Linked DNA regions of Styela clava. The protein of the gene in region 2 interacts with the protein of the main gene of each other region in a pairwise test. Links are inferred from orthologs where the notes say so. Each region holds a gene or a part of one and is shown on either strand. Other genes may lie near its edges.

Region 1 (6,729 bases), on a different chromosome or scaffold from region 2:
AGGAATGGCTAGCTAGTTAGTTGTCTATTTATTGAACTGGAGGACAATGGTCTATCATTTATTTGAGTCATCTTATATCAGTTTTTCACCTTTTAAATTCTGCCGACAATTATTTATATTTAGAATGATCATTATGTTATTCATGTTTACAGGGGAACTCTATCAATCAAGGATCTGAGTGAAATGACAAGTATCACACAAGCGGATATCATTTCTGCATTGCAGTCTCTCAACATGGTAAAATATTGGAAAGGACAACATGTTGTCTGTGTCACACCAAAACACATTGAGGAACATATGAAATCACAGCTGATCAAAAGGCCACGAATTCCTGTGGACAAAACATTCATGAGATGGCAGCCTCCAAAGAGAAAGCCAGGTGTGAAAAAGGAAGGTATCCACCACAAAAAATGAAGACTGTCAACTGTTGACAAAACTATATGAACTAATTACAGAATACATGTGAGGCATTCTGACTGAATCTTTTCATATTGCCAATCGCCATTATTTTATTAAACTGCTTTTCACTGTCTTTGTTGTACTCAAATATCTTGTTGAAGATGTTAACACAGGAAGTCTGTTTATTCTGGACTCCGGGGCTCGACACCATGAACTGAAATAAAACACAAGAAACTTTCAATCTATTACTCATCCAACAGGGCAGGAATAATTTCACACAGAGGATACACCTACCGAAGGGGGGTCTGCTTATTTTTGGGCTCCATATAAAACCATAACTATAGCATTGATAGCAGTATAAACTGAAACAAAGCACAAGAATTTTGTTGTATTTTTCATCCATGAAACTTGGATATTACTATATGCAGAGGTCACCTACTTGCATGATAGTCAGGGGATAGATTCTCCAGAGAGATATTAATTGGGTGTAGCTGGCGAGGTGTGAAAAATGATCCTGCAGACATCAGACCAGGTGAAATTCTGTTGTGGGTAAATAGTATTCTTAATTCCCCAAGCAGGCGCTATTTGACATATTTTGGCTCTAAATGTACACGGACGGGCAGTCAAGACTAACCATTGAAATGCATGGAACTGCGCATATTAAACAAAATGCATGCAACACCAAACATTCCTTTGAAACTTCTCTAATGTAATACCCATCATTCATACACTTTTATATTCAAGAATGTAATTTAGTAATAAAAGGTGTGAAAAATGATCCTACAGACCAGGTGAAATTCTGTTGTGGGCTCGGCAAATAGTATTCTTAATTCCCCAAGCAGGCGCTATTTGACATATTTTGGCTCTAAATGTACACGGACGGGCAGTCAAGACTACCATTGAAATGCATGCAACACCAAACATTCCTTTGAAACTTCTCTAATGTAATACCCATCATTCATACACTTTTATATTCAAGAATGTAATTTAGTAATAAAATGCAAAGCATTTTTTCAAACAAGCTTCGAAATGCTCACATTTACTGACAAATGAACTTTTTTGAGCATCTTGCACTGTTAGATAGTGCTAATAATGTCACAGAAAGTCCTGGTAGAAAAACTCAGTCTCTTCTAAGAGGGAATCGTTCTGTCTTCACACCATTGGCATCAATAATATGGATAAGAACACTATCTCCAGTCGTTATATCTCGTTCAGCAGCAGATATGAAAGCATCCTTTACTAGCTGTAAACCTTTCTGTTTCGTAAGAGGTATTTTCGGAACATTTTCCATATTCTTGAAACCTAAAAAAGCATATTTAATCATGTCATTTTTTAACTCGTTAAAAAATCATTGTTATATTATATCCATGTTACTTTACAACATACCTATCTGATTGTCCAGAAGAGGTTGCAACAATTCAGCAGCTGAACCTTCTGCCCTATATGCTTCACGTTCATAACATCCAACCGGATCGTATGAATACACACAACCTTTGCCTTCATCATCTATGCCAGCCAACAGGTTGTAAACATAGTAAGGAAAGAATCGCTTGTAATAAAGGATGGTTGATAGCATGGCGGCTATTGCACTGACACTTGGCTTCTTGCCGTGCTCATGCTCATATAATTTTATTCTATTTTGTATGACCTTTTTTAGGGTCAGACTATCTCCATGAAAACCTGCAGCTCCCAGCACAACTTTGGGGGTTAGCTGTAAAGTTTTTGGTTCTTCCCGGCTGTGTATAGAGAAACCCTGACTCAGCCTGGTATCTGCTGCAATTATGGCAAAATCATCTCCAGAAATCGCCAATGTATTACCACCGTTTGAAGCATATGGGGAAAAATGTTGCTGCTTTGGTGCATTGATTCCATAGGTTTGAAGTTTTCCAATACTATCCATTTTTTTATTTTTGACCTGTATCGTGCATAATTAATCATAAAATAATAATAAGTGAGTATTTAATATAGAATAATTTTAATATATAAGCACCACAGCTAACGAACAATGAGAAATTCGTAACACCACATTTTTTACTTTCAATAGTTGACACGGAAAAGTAGGGAATTAACTAAAAATTCTTCAAAGGCAAAATATGAAATTATTTACATCCTATCCATATTTGCAATAGGATTTACATATTTATCCAGAGGGAGAGGAAGTTGACTACAATGTCACAATCGATATGGGATTAGTCCGCCATTTATTTGTTTTTAGACATATGGACTCAATGATGGAGAATTACAACAGTCCTCTTCCACATACTGACATAGTTGGGCGGAATTCAAGCTTACAAACCCAAGCACACTAATCAGAAGTGCGATGGCAAGGGTACCGCTACCGGTACCGTATTCCTAATGATGAGCGTGATTCGCCATACGGTACCGGTACTATAATTGACATTATCAGACTATGGGTGGTAATAAACCTCACTGCCTATAAAATAGATTACCTGAATACCAAAGTTGCTTATTTCAATACCGGTAGATTCTGAAATCTGGAAAATGTGAAACTGATTTAAAAATTACAGATCTAGACTATCTAAGATTTTAACGTAGATTTTAAAATCTTAAATGTTCTTCACAGTAATATGCTTATACAGCTAACTTATAAGTATAGAGTCAGCAGCGCAACCTAACCGTAATTTGAGCTACAACGTAGAGTTTTAAACACGAAAGTCGCTCAGCCTCCGATCGAATCGAAAATTACAACAGAACGTATTATTTAGTAATGACGCAGCTAAAATAAATTGCCGTATCATCAAACGGATGGCTGAATTCGTCATGCCGTGCCAGATTTTCACGTTGAAATTTATGTTGTACTCAGGGAGAATACAACACTGATTGTTCTTGTTGACTTATACTGAAATTGGGTGGATTAGCCAGGTGAAAATTTTCATAAGTACCTTGACTAGCAACATAAACTAACACATCACTGCGGTACCGGTACCTTCATTTTATGTTTTGCCAGTGCTGGAGTAATTAAATTGCCGAGAATAAAGTTCCGAAATATATTTTATTGTATTGAGTGTGCAAAATGCAAATGGTACGATACCGATACTTGCTGACTTCTGTACTTGACAAATTTATCTTACAATATTGTTGGGTGCCTGTATAGGGGCATATTTCTCATGCTGCCTTTATCATTGTGATCAGTTGAAACAGGTCTAATTTCAGAATTGATAAAACTTTTTATTTTTTTACTGGACTGCCGCCTTCATTGTCTGTCACAGTTGTTTTTCATGGTCTTTTATTAACGTTTGGTAACCACCTAATACTCAGACATCATCATGTTTTTGAATGCAATAACATAGACTACTATGTTTATCTTTTTTCTCTTTTTATTTCGTTATTATGTCTTAGTGATTGTATGTGTGTGTGCCTTGTGCGTGCGTGTATTCATTAATTTAACACATTTTAGGTGAGGAACATTGTATCACTTCTTTTGACAGCCCCTTACTCACAATTTTAAATCTGTATGTCTCAAACAGTACATGAGGTTTTGGGGTCTAGTATAGTTTAGTACCGCAAGTACTTCCAGTAGGCGTAGCATAACGAATTTTGCATATGTTATTACTAACCCCTCACCTGACTAGGCCATCCAAAAATTGAGTGGAAGTGGTGACTCCTCTTCGGCCCATGGGCCGGGGCCACGGCCCATCAAATTGGGCCTAGGCCCATCAGGCTATGGGCCGTGGCCCATCAAGTTGTGTAAAGGAACTATTCACTTGGCTAACACAGACAGTCCCCAAACTCATAATAGAACTATAATGTAAAAAATCTGAACAAAATTTTGCCCTAACCCTAACCTGGTACACATACTACAGGAGTTTATTTTTTGGTTCGAATATTGACAATTTTGTAGAAATTGAAAATTTTGGTAAGATAATTGAATTTTTCCTGACGGGGCCACGGCCCATAGCTTGATGGGCCACGGCCCATGTGGCCCAATTAGATGGGCCGTGGCCCCGGCCCATGGGGCGTAGTGGAGTCACCACTCCTGTAGCAAAAATTACGTCACCTTCACGTCATCGTGCTTGCCAAAGTATCATTACGATCGCCCGATATGTCATCTGCGCAGCCGATAACAAACTCGCTAGCGCCGGTGATCTTTCTGCGCGTTTTGGACGATCATCCGCTTACTTTGGTGGGCCTTATTATGTAACTGTGATGTCGCAATGGCATAATTTTTCGGTGACATAGTCATGTGAGGGTTAGAAATGACATATGCAAAAATTGTTAAGCCAGGCCAATTAGAAGGGTATGTGGTACTAAACTATACCAGACCCCAAGTTTTGTTTGCTCACCTGATTCTGTGATCAGTTTTGATTATTTCTTAGCTCAGTGGTTGGCTCATCGTGACCTCTGCTAACCCTCGGTTTCTATCCTGATTTCTCATACCAACTTATTTCATTGGTAGGTTTAAACAAGCATAATACTATTGGATGTCTTCAGATACAAGTTAAAATCCTGTGGATTAAAAGATGCAAAGCATTCTTAGATACTTCAACCCTTCAATTAATGCAGTGAGGTAAAATGAATTTTTATTATGTTAAAATTCAAAATCACAGGAAAAAAATGATTATTGGTGGTTATTTTATCTGTCAAGGCAATAGATTATTTTTTGGCTCACCTCTTTATTTTCTATGAAATATTTTTATCATGTAAAAAATTTCAACAGGGGATTCTACACATGCTGCAATGTAAAGGCACCAAATGCTGCACATTATGACAATCAAACATTTTATGAAAATGTGAATTTCGGAGAAAAACATCACCCAGGCAATGTTAGAGACAGACATCGGCAAACGAAGGCTATGCAGAGGAAAGCTTTTCAAAAACTTACCCGGGTAAGGGTAACTGACAATAGTGCACTTGCATTGCAGAGCTATTATCGTTATCCCCGAGTGATACAAGTCTACCATAAAACTGGATATGGAAGGGTGGGTGACACTGTACTTTTAGCAATAGGAGGACTGATGAAAAGAGCACTTATTATTGGTCAAAAGAGATCAATGGGCCCCATGAAAGCCAGAATGGATTCTAATAATGTAATTTTAATAAATGATGATGGTACTCCAGATGGCACAAGAATTACAGTCCCAGTGCCATCTTTTCTTAGAGGAATTCAATCTGCAAAGCAGAGAGTACAAATTTCTAAAGTCATTGCAATTGCTGGGAGATTTGTATGAAATACCTTCATGTTAACTGCTTCAACTTTCTTTCCTCAGTTATGCATGTTAATCCAACAATGCGATGGAAGCTAAAACTGGAGGTTTGTTCAGCTTTCCATCTATTGGTTAGATTGTCTAACCTAGTTATATGCTTCTGCTAAATATGAGACCATTGTGGAGATTGGTATATTGCAATTGTGCGAGTATCTCATAAATTTCTTCGTATGCATTGTATTATAAAAGTATTGACACCTTTTATGTGAAATATGATTGTTGACAAATCCACAATGTTGGATTAGTATTGTTGTGCTTGTTTGGGTTGAACATTTGTGGAGGTTGTACCATGAACTTTTGTATACTAACAGTAACAAGTCAAGCGCTAGTGCAAAATCAGGAAAGTTCATCCTTATTTTGCTTCATATGATTGTGTAAATATTGCCATTTGCTGAACCATACCTACCAACTATTTTCAAATGATGCCTAGTACCAACGAGAACCAGGACCCTAAAACAGGATTTCGATTGTTTTTTTTTACAAACGCAATGTAGTGAATGCAATATTGCATAAATGCTTATTGCCATTGAGATATTGCAATGTCTTAGTTGTACATTACATTTAACAAATATTCATGTAAACCATTCAACGTCTTGGAATACATAAAAATTGAATATAAGTATAATAAATTTATTTCGACTCCATAATCAGCACAACAATACATTTGACAGATAAAAACAAATAAATAAAAACTGATTATGAAATCAGGGGAGCAAACGAAACCTTAGATAAGGTTTATAACTTACAAAATATAAGATGGAAGGTTTTGCCAAGAAGAAGTGGTACGTGTTTACTCGCCTCAAATTATTAAGTTATTTCACACACGCTCACATGCACCCACCAGCCACACACACACACAACCACTGAGAAGTTATTTAAGTAAGAATAAAACGCGATAAATTTAGGGTATACTATACAGTAAACAAAAAAAAATACTAGAAAAGAAAAAAATTATTTGCCACACCATATTGATAGTTTTGTAATGGTTGCCATTGCCAAATTGATCGATCTTCTTATCGTTAATTAAAATATAAAAGGAAGATTCCACTGAAAACATGTTGCCAATCCTACTGAAAACATATTGCCATACTTACACTTCCATTTT
Region 2 (8,427 bases):
GCAAGAAAAATAAAGTGGGCTGTTAATTGTTATTTTGATTGGGACTGGATAAGAAAGAAAATCATGACATGACAAAATTAAATTCACATTGTTTATATTACAAAAAAATAGTACACAGCCTTGCACATCCATTTTAAACAATAAATCTAAGAATTTACCTAAATTTTCCAGAATGCTAATTGTTGCAGTTTCCAGGTTGAGAGTATACATATGAAAACCCAAAACTTCTCCAGAGTTCAAAAGTTCACGACACATGTCAGTAGCATAATCAATCCCGAAGCTACAAAACCAATGAAATTTTGTTATTTATTTGATTCATTACAAAAATGACAAACAGTCTATATTATACTTTGAGAAAATCTCTAAAACAACTAGACAATGTAAATGACAAAACAAAAATGACTCAAAATAATCAATTTCTCTGAAAATAAAACAACACTGTTCTCGTGACAAAATCCATCACTTTCTTGAAAGCTCCATAAGCTTTTGCTTCGAATTGTCCCAATAAACTTACTTTCGAATAGCTGCATCATTATCTTTTATTGGTTCAATAATTTTCTGCACATCCTCAGGGACTTCAAGTTTCGATAATTTTGTCAGTTGAACAAGAGATCTGTTCGTCTGATGCACAACAAAAACGATACATAAAGTGTTAAATATTGTGCCAGATAGTGCAAATGAATCATATTCATTTGCACTAAGAAGTACATTTTACTGAGGCGACAAATTCCAAGATAAGATTAACATTTGTTTCCAGTACTTTTCTAAGTGAATTGATAATGTGTTTTCATAAAAAATATTCCTTTCAAAATTACTTTACATAATACACATTTTGAAATTATTCACTTTATTTAAATTAAATGTCTTTAAACCTGTCAATAATGGCATCACCAGCTGGATTTGCAATTTAGCAAAATTACCATATTCACGGAAATCATTATATGACGTGTAATTAGTGAAAAAATGATGCAACTCTTTCTGTTGTGCATTCCCTTATCAATTAAAGTTCCAAAACAATATCCAACAGACAAAAATTAATCAATCAGCGAAACATAAATAGGAGTGATTTTTTAGCTTTTTGATAGATTAGTTGTTCAATTATAATCTGGACAAGTGTCATCCAAAACTCAATTACAAATAAACAATTGAAAAAAGTTTGAACTAGAAACAAACAAAGAAACTCCCAATTTTTAAATTTCGTTTTGGAAAAATTAGATATTTCATGACTAGCATTATTTAAATTTACATATATACCTACATATTTAATAAAAACATAATCGATAAATATTATAATCAAAAAAGGAATTATACTTGACAAAAATGATGTCATTCAAATTCATGGAGAATTGTGTGGTTAAACAACAAAGTTGCATAATATCAAATATTTGTTTATCTTTCAACAAACACACTGTGTGTGCTGAGTAAACTATGCTACTCAACTTTAACGTAATTAGCGGTACCTGAATCGGAAAAATTCCAGGGATAATAGGACATTGAATTCCAATTTTTCTGCAATCTGACTGAAATTTTAAGAATTCCTCAGCTTGGAAAAATAACTGAGTTATAATAAAATCTGCACCAGCATCTACTTTTTTCTTGAGATTGACTAAATCGTCTTTATATGATGAACAATCCGGATGACCTTTAGGATAACCTGAATGACAAATATACTTGTTTGATAATGGAAGCCACAAGACAAGTTTACTTCTGAGCCAAAATCAATATTTCGTACTTTATTTCACAATTATGTACAAAATGTTATTATATAATAAAATGATCAATGTTATTCTCAAAATACAACATCAAAGGGTTAAAAGTTCAAGTTTCCTTTGGTGCTTTCGTTCAACAAAATAAATAATATACACTAGTTTGCTTATCATTATCAATAAAAAAGTTTATTGTCTGTAAAATAGGTTTAGTACTAATAATGCAATAAACTATTAAAAAAAGTGTAATATTAGGAAATTTTCATGTAAGTTCATATACCTATTAACTCTTACGGAAGATAAACTCTTTGGTAAAATCTATATAATACGTTCTGCGAACTTATTTTTCAATTCCAATTTTCGCTTACCTGCAACACAGATGCTGAAATAATCTTCATATTCTTGACGGATAAGTTCCACTAAATCAGAACTATAATTCAACCCATTTTCATTCATTTCCCATTCGTCGCCTGTTGGATCTAAAATCAAATTATTTAAAAAAAATTCTTTTGTTTATGAGTACACCCCATCAACTTGAACAAAATTCAGAAGTATCTTTACAAATACTATCATATATGCCATTTTTTATTCACGATACCAATATGACTCCAATATATGAAGATATCAATAAAGCAAGTGAAAAGGCGCCAATATTACAATGGAACACTTCACAATCAAACAGAACAGAGAACCCTATATTTGTTGAAATAGAAATCTGAAATAGTAACAATTAAATATTTAATTAATTAATTAGTGTACTTTTTTAAATATTTAGTTTAATGTTTAGTTTCAATATAGAGTTTTCAATAATAAAAAGTGATATTCTTTCCTACCTCCTCTCAAGGCTAGTATGCTTCTGATTCCCAATGATTTAGTTTTTTCTAGATTTTTCATGATTGTTTCTCTAGTTTGATTGCAACATGTCATATGTAGCATTGTATCAATGCCACAATAATTTAGAATTGTCCCTGCAATTTTGGTTGAGGATGTTATTTTATCACCACCGGGGTCGCCAGCAGGATGCCAAGTTATGTCAATAAATAAAGGATTTCCGTCCCTCATACGATCCAACCTGATGAAAAGATGACACAATTTCATGTTTGCAAAAAAATTCATTCATATACTGGCAATTGAAGCAAAAAAAGATATGTTTTGCAGCTCAATTTCCATTATACTACTTAAGCTACTTTTTACTTTGATTCCTAAATTATTCCCAACTTTGGTAAAATTCATTCTCAATTACCTTGAGAAAGTGAAAAATACTAAAACACTAGACCAGTCATTTCTTAATAATTCATACTAGTGGTTAATTTTAAAATATACTAAAGTTAGAATAACTTATAAGTTATGAATAGCTAAACATGTTGCAACCTGCGGTTTTTTATACGTTTATTTGTACAGTTTGGGCATGAGATATCTAACCATATTGACCACTTTGAGTTAACTAAACTTATTTTATAAGTATTCTTAAACCTAATTGCATACCTTCCAATAAGATTTGCAGCCCCCTTTTCTGTTCGTGGAGGAAAAAATTCCAGTGAAAACCATGGATCTTTTGATTGCACACGATTGTTTATTTTGTTTTTTAGAGAAACGAAAGGAGAAACGCCATTGCACAACGAGTCATTCGTTTTGCACAATCCATCTGTTGCGGAGGCAAAACCATTTGTTGCCCCGTGCACTTCATCTCTTTCAACAGCATCTGCTTTTTCTGTCCCAGACACCATTTTTGTTTACTTTCTGTATTAACTTATTACACATACATCGAGAGAGTCCTCCAGAACCTCACACGAACGCACAGACGGTTACAGGCAAATGGGGACGATCGATGAAATTTTTCGTTTTTATACCAAACATAACATAACGCTTGATTGATCATGCATAGCATCAGCTGTTTTTTAAATTTGAAGGCGAGAGTTGAGTTCTTGAAACGATATATCGCGTCAATTGGTGAATATCATTGCTTTCAATTTGACTCTTATCACAAACGCGCTCAAACAGTTTTTATTGTTGTACACATATACATCATCGTAAATATTATCATATTAAAATTCGGTGTAGTATTTTCCCGAAAATGCGCAATTTCTGTATAACATTCCATGACGACTGGCACTCAAAAAGAAAAAAACGTGGAAAAATTACTTTCATTTACAGTTTTTGTTATTTGTCGAGTGACCCAATAACAACGCTGCACCTATATATCATTATTGGACACTAAATGTTTTTGTTGATGCTGAAGGTGGGATGATTGTTGTTGTTGTTATACTTACCAAAAGTCGCTAGAAGATTATCATGCTTTTTTGATTTCAATTTCAAGTTAGTGTTATTAATTATTTAATTTAAATTTATTGGACACGAATTGTACATACGCATGTATCGATTTGTTGTTAGAATTCCCATTTCTCATTCTTATCCATAATATTTATTTTATTTAGATTTTGTTGCGTTTTGCTTGTCCGCTGATCTTTTCAGAAACTCGGTGTTGTCAGGCAAGTTGAAAGCAAACTAAAGCTTTCCTACTACTGAGCTATTTAGGCGTTCGGCGATAGTTCATTAGTCAATTAACAGAATTTTGACACAAAGATAGGCATCTGGACCAGAACTCAACTTCAACTCTTCAAGTTTAAAGCCTGAGGTCACGCACTTGTATTTTATTTTTCAAGCTTCAACGCCCGAATTCAACAATTCGCGTATATTGTATATATATACTATTCTTTCTCAAGAATCAACGCCCAGAATCTTTGAATTTGTGTCTTATTGTCAACGTATATATTGAAACTAAATATTTTGTGTGTCAAACGGATCAGATGATGCATGGTTTATATACATTAACTGTGAATCTCATTGTTGATTTTTGGGGGAGCTGACTTTGATGACCTGGTCGTATCGCTCCCTCCAGTCTATACCGAATTGAGTTGCATATTTTCTCCCTCTCTCTAACTATTAGCTGTTGTGAGTCATCCGAGTCACAGGCTCATAGACCGAGGACAAAACATATTGTTTTGACAGAACAATTAAGATTTCCTGTCGCGCTTAATAAGTATTCAACTTAAACAGGGAGGAAAAGCGATATACATAAGATATTGTAGAATTATGACGAGCAAGTTAGTATTAAGTAGGCTAAGTTTGTTTTGATTCGGCCGAAAAACACATACATAAAACAATAAACGCACAAAATTTGGTAACGATTCATCGATTATGTGCTTGTGAATTCTGATTTCTTTCTGTTTGTTGCTGGGAGTCAAAATCAGGCAACAACAGAAAGTGGGTAGGCTGAAGACTAAGCTGAGAAGAACCGTATTTTTTTTTTATAAAATGACCATCAATTCAGACAAAGAAAAACGAAATGGGGATAAAGTTATCAATAAGAAATCGACTCGAGCACAGTATTACTTGGATACAACTTTGAACTGTTCATTTGTACGATACGAATAAATACATTTTTAAACCCGTGTACATTAGGCAGCAAACAAATCGGAATCCGGACGTTGAAAAAAACCACAAGGAGACTTGATAAACTTAACAGTATCACCGTGCATATTAGTAGGAGACGCAGAACATCACGAGGGTTATAATCAGTGGTGGGATTCAAATTTTTTTGTCAGCCGGTTCCTTCACAAAAGTCATATTTTTCAGCCGGTTCTGACACAAACAGAACATTGACAGTAACCAGTAATGCTAGCCGGTTCGCTGATCTCATAAAATTCCGTGAGACGGTTCTATAGAACCCGTGCGAACCGGCTAAATCCCACCACTGGTTATATTCATTTCATTACTTATGTTTTTTTTTTTTTAATTTTCAGCACAGGTAAAAAAAAATTTATCGTTGATAATACTTGGTTATTATTACAATCTGGTATTGACTCACCAGACATGCACCTAATTCAAGAGCATTATTCTCATGTAATAGCGGATTACAATGCAGCCGAATACAGGTTTATAATAAAACACGTTGATGGTTGTTGTACTTGAAAACATCTCAAGTTCGAAACCAGCATGTAAAAAAACTCGAACAATGAGGACATTTCTTACATGTTTAGCAAATTCCGACGTCGTAAATGGTTCTTCCACAGTCAAGTCAAGTTCATTTTTTACAACCAGTAAGAAAGTTAAGTTTTACACAAAATACTAGGAGAGAAGCCGCGAGAAACCAAAGCTGGTTATCGAGCAGCGAGACCCAGGGATCTAATCAAAAAGACGAACCTTACCTTTTTAGTGCATTGAAATCTTGTCGGGGAATGTATGGGACATTTTTTAACAAATCTAGGATAACAAATAACTCAAAAATGTACAAAAACACGCACATAGGTATCTAGCAAAACCTTTTATTTCACACCAGATACCAGATGATGACGTACCAAAATGATATCATGACGAAGGAGAAAAAGCACTTCTACTATAAAAGGAACAACTAAAAAGTAAAAAGCACTATCCACTAAAATATAGAAAGCATTTTTTAGGACTAATTCAACAAGAAGTTTTTCAAAAAGATGGCTTAAACTTTTAAACATTGAATTTGGAGTTTCAATGGTTTGTGACCTTATTTTTTTTTCAAGTTTAGGCGCTTGCCAGCCAAGCAGGGGTTTATTCTATTTCAAACCTCAAAATCTAAAGCTTAAGATACAAAATTACCTTCCATTGTATATTTATAACTAAAAGCTCAAATATAAGTAAATAAAAAAAGCAAAAAACTAAATTACAGCACCACTTCAGCTCATTCTAAAGAGCTTGTAACATTTTTAGTTCAAAAATCATATAGAAACTTGAAAGATTTGGCCCGCGACACACAAGTTTAAAAATTAGAAAATAACTTTGAACAATAAATAGTTAATAGAAGTATATACAGTTTAAATGTGAATCTATCAACTGTCCTTAATCACACATATACTTATTTATCGGATGACAAGAATCAATAATCTGATTTTAAAAATTTGATAAAAATGTCCAAAATGATATTTGAAGATATAAATTCCTATTTGAAATAGCATGATTTGTATGGGATCCTGCAGTATTATAATTCTCTCTTGGTAACCTATTAACATGCATGTTAAATTGAATACATTAACGTATAATTAACTTAATCTTATCTTTATAAAATAGTTCAATTGTGTTTATTAATTAAAAGATTACAGAAATGTGAATGAAATAGAAAAAGTTTATATGAAATCGATTGATGTACTACATACCATTACAGATGAAATCAATTGAATAGTGATTTAATAATTGAAAAAATAAATTGAAAGCAAAGCATTGTGCATTAGAAGTAAAAGAATAGGGTGAAAATTATTAAATTGTTGTCATTTGCTACACAAAACAGCAATGAAATGATGTTCATGATAGTTTATAATTCAAAAGTAATCATAAAAAGTTGTTTATGAATTTTCAAGTCAACAAAATGCTACTTGATACAATGTCTTAGTAACTTGATTTCGATTTGAACTGCTGAGCAGATTTAGTAGGAAGACTATCTGGGGAGAAAATTTTACAAAGACCCACATGTGTGTACAAACAATGATAGTGTTAAAAGCATCATTTCATAAGTGAAAAGCAATCGTAAGCAAGCATTCAAAAAAAAAAAATGGCCATGCAGTTAATAAAAGCACACATAGCCGACAAAACTTGCATAAGGAATTTGATTTAAATTCCATTTTAAAATGACAACTCCAAATTATGACATTTTTCTAGAAAATAATGGAAATTTCACAGCAACTTTCTTTAATATGACAAAGACATATTTTAAACATATATGCTCAGACATTTACAACTAATCATAAGTGATGCAAACCCAAGAAAATAACAACTATGCTTTTTAAATTATCAGGCGAAAATATTTAAATTCAGAAGTGTGTAAGAAGACAGGATGGTCTCCATTTTAATACCATATATCCCCGCATATAAGCCGATCTCTCATACAAGCAGACCCCCTCAAAGCGGCCAGTCTAATTTGCCAGTCTAATTAATCGCTTTTATCCTCAGTTGCGATAGTGACCGAGCATAATCGGAAAATAGCTCCTCAAATATAATTTAGAATCTATCGCGGTTTTTATTGTTTGCCTGGCGTTGTTAATGATAATATCGTTCAGTTTAAAGTTTGCGGTATTAATTAATAAAATGTCATTTCATTTGAATGTGATCAGAGGTATGCGCCGCGCCTATAAACCAAATTTTGATAACAGCCGACCTCATAGTTTGGCTTTTTTAGTTTTGAACTCAGCTTATACGCGAGGATATACGGTAATTCAAATATGACAGGATGTGTTGTTGCATTAGTTGATGAAACATAAAAAAACGAAACATTTGATCACATAAAGTATTCAGTCCTCTTTTTTCCTCCATAATCTTCTTCATCATCTACCATGGGATGTTCATCATCATTTCTATTTTCTTCTGTGTCATGATTTTTCATTTCATTTGTATGGTAAGTTCCTATAATAGGGTATAAAAGATAAAATGACATCATTTCCATTAGTCTCATGTTAAATATCGCATTATGTAAATATTTCAAATTAAAATAGCACTTTCTGTATTAGCTAGGATTAGACTGGTAAGATGGCCTGTTTTGCAATGGTATTAAAATAAAAGCCAGCATTTTATTCTCAAATTCTCAATTACAAGTGGAAACCTCAGTCCACTCAAAATTAAAGGACCCACTTCAAATTTTCAACAAAATCTGAGGAAGGAAAGGTAAAGATGAATTTTTGTGAACTATAATTGGAGTCAG

Evidence for each region.
Region 1: the proteins of methylenetetrahydrofolate reductase (NADPH)-like (region 2) and proteasome subunit beta type-1-like interact in a two-hybrid assay, tested with the Caenorhabditis elegans proteins (3 studies listed by BioGRID). The link is inferred for Styela clava from reciprocal best matches to the Caenorhabditis elegans genes mthf-1 and pbs-6.

The regions. Positions count from the first base shown.
Region 1 is NC_135255.1:8,348,751-8,355,479, reverse strand, and holds proteasome subunit beta type-1-like, read right to left. Parts: upstream 2,316-6,729; 5' UTR 2,300-2,315; coding exon 1,786-2,299; intron 1,702-1,785; coding exon 1,520-1,701; 3' UTR 1,366-1,519; downstream 1-1,365. Other genes in the region: histone acetyltransferase KAT8-like, read left to right, coding at 153-414; large ribosomal subunit protein uL14m-like, read left to right, coding at 4,881-4,927, 5,078-5,588. UniProt on the Caenorhabditis elegans protein: Non-catalytic component of the proteasome, a multicatalytic proteinase complex which is characterized by its ability to cleave peptides with Arg, Phe, Tyr, Leu, and Glu adjacent to the leaving group at neutral or slightly basic pH.
Region 2 is NC_135253.1:4,399,472-4,407,898, reverse strand, and holds the start of methylenetetrahydrofolate reductase (NADPH)-like, read right to left. Parts: upstream 3,539-8,427; 5' UTR 3,434-3,538; coding exon 3,192-3,433; intron 2,779-3,191; coding exon 2,540-2,778; intron 2,186-2,539; coding exon 2,075-2,185; intron 1,655-2,074; coding exon 1,461-1,654; intron 622-1,460; coding exon 515-621; intron 281-514; coding exon 159-280; intron 1-158. Other genes in the region: cell adhesion molecule 3-like, read right to left, coding at 8,008-8,132.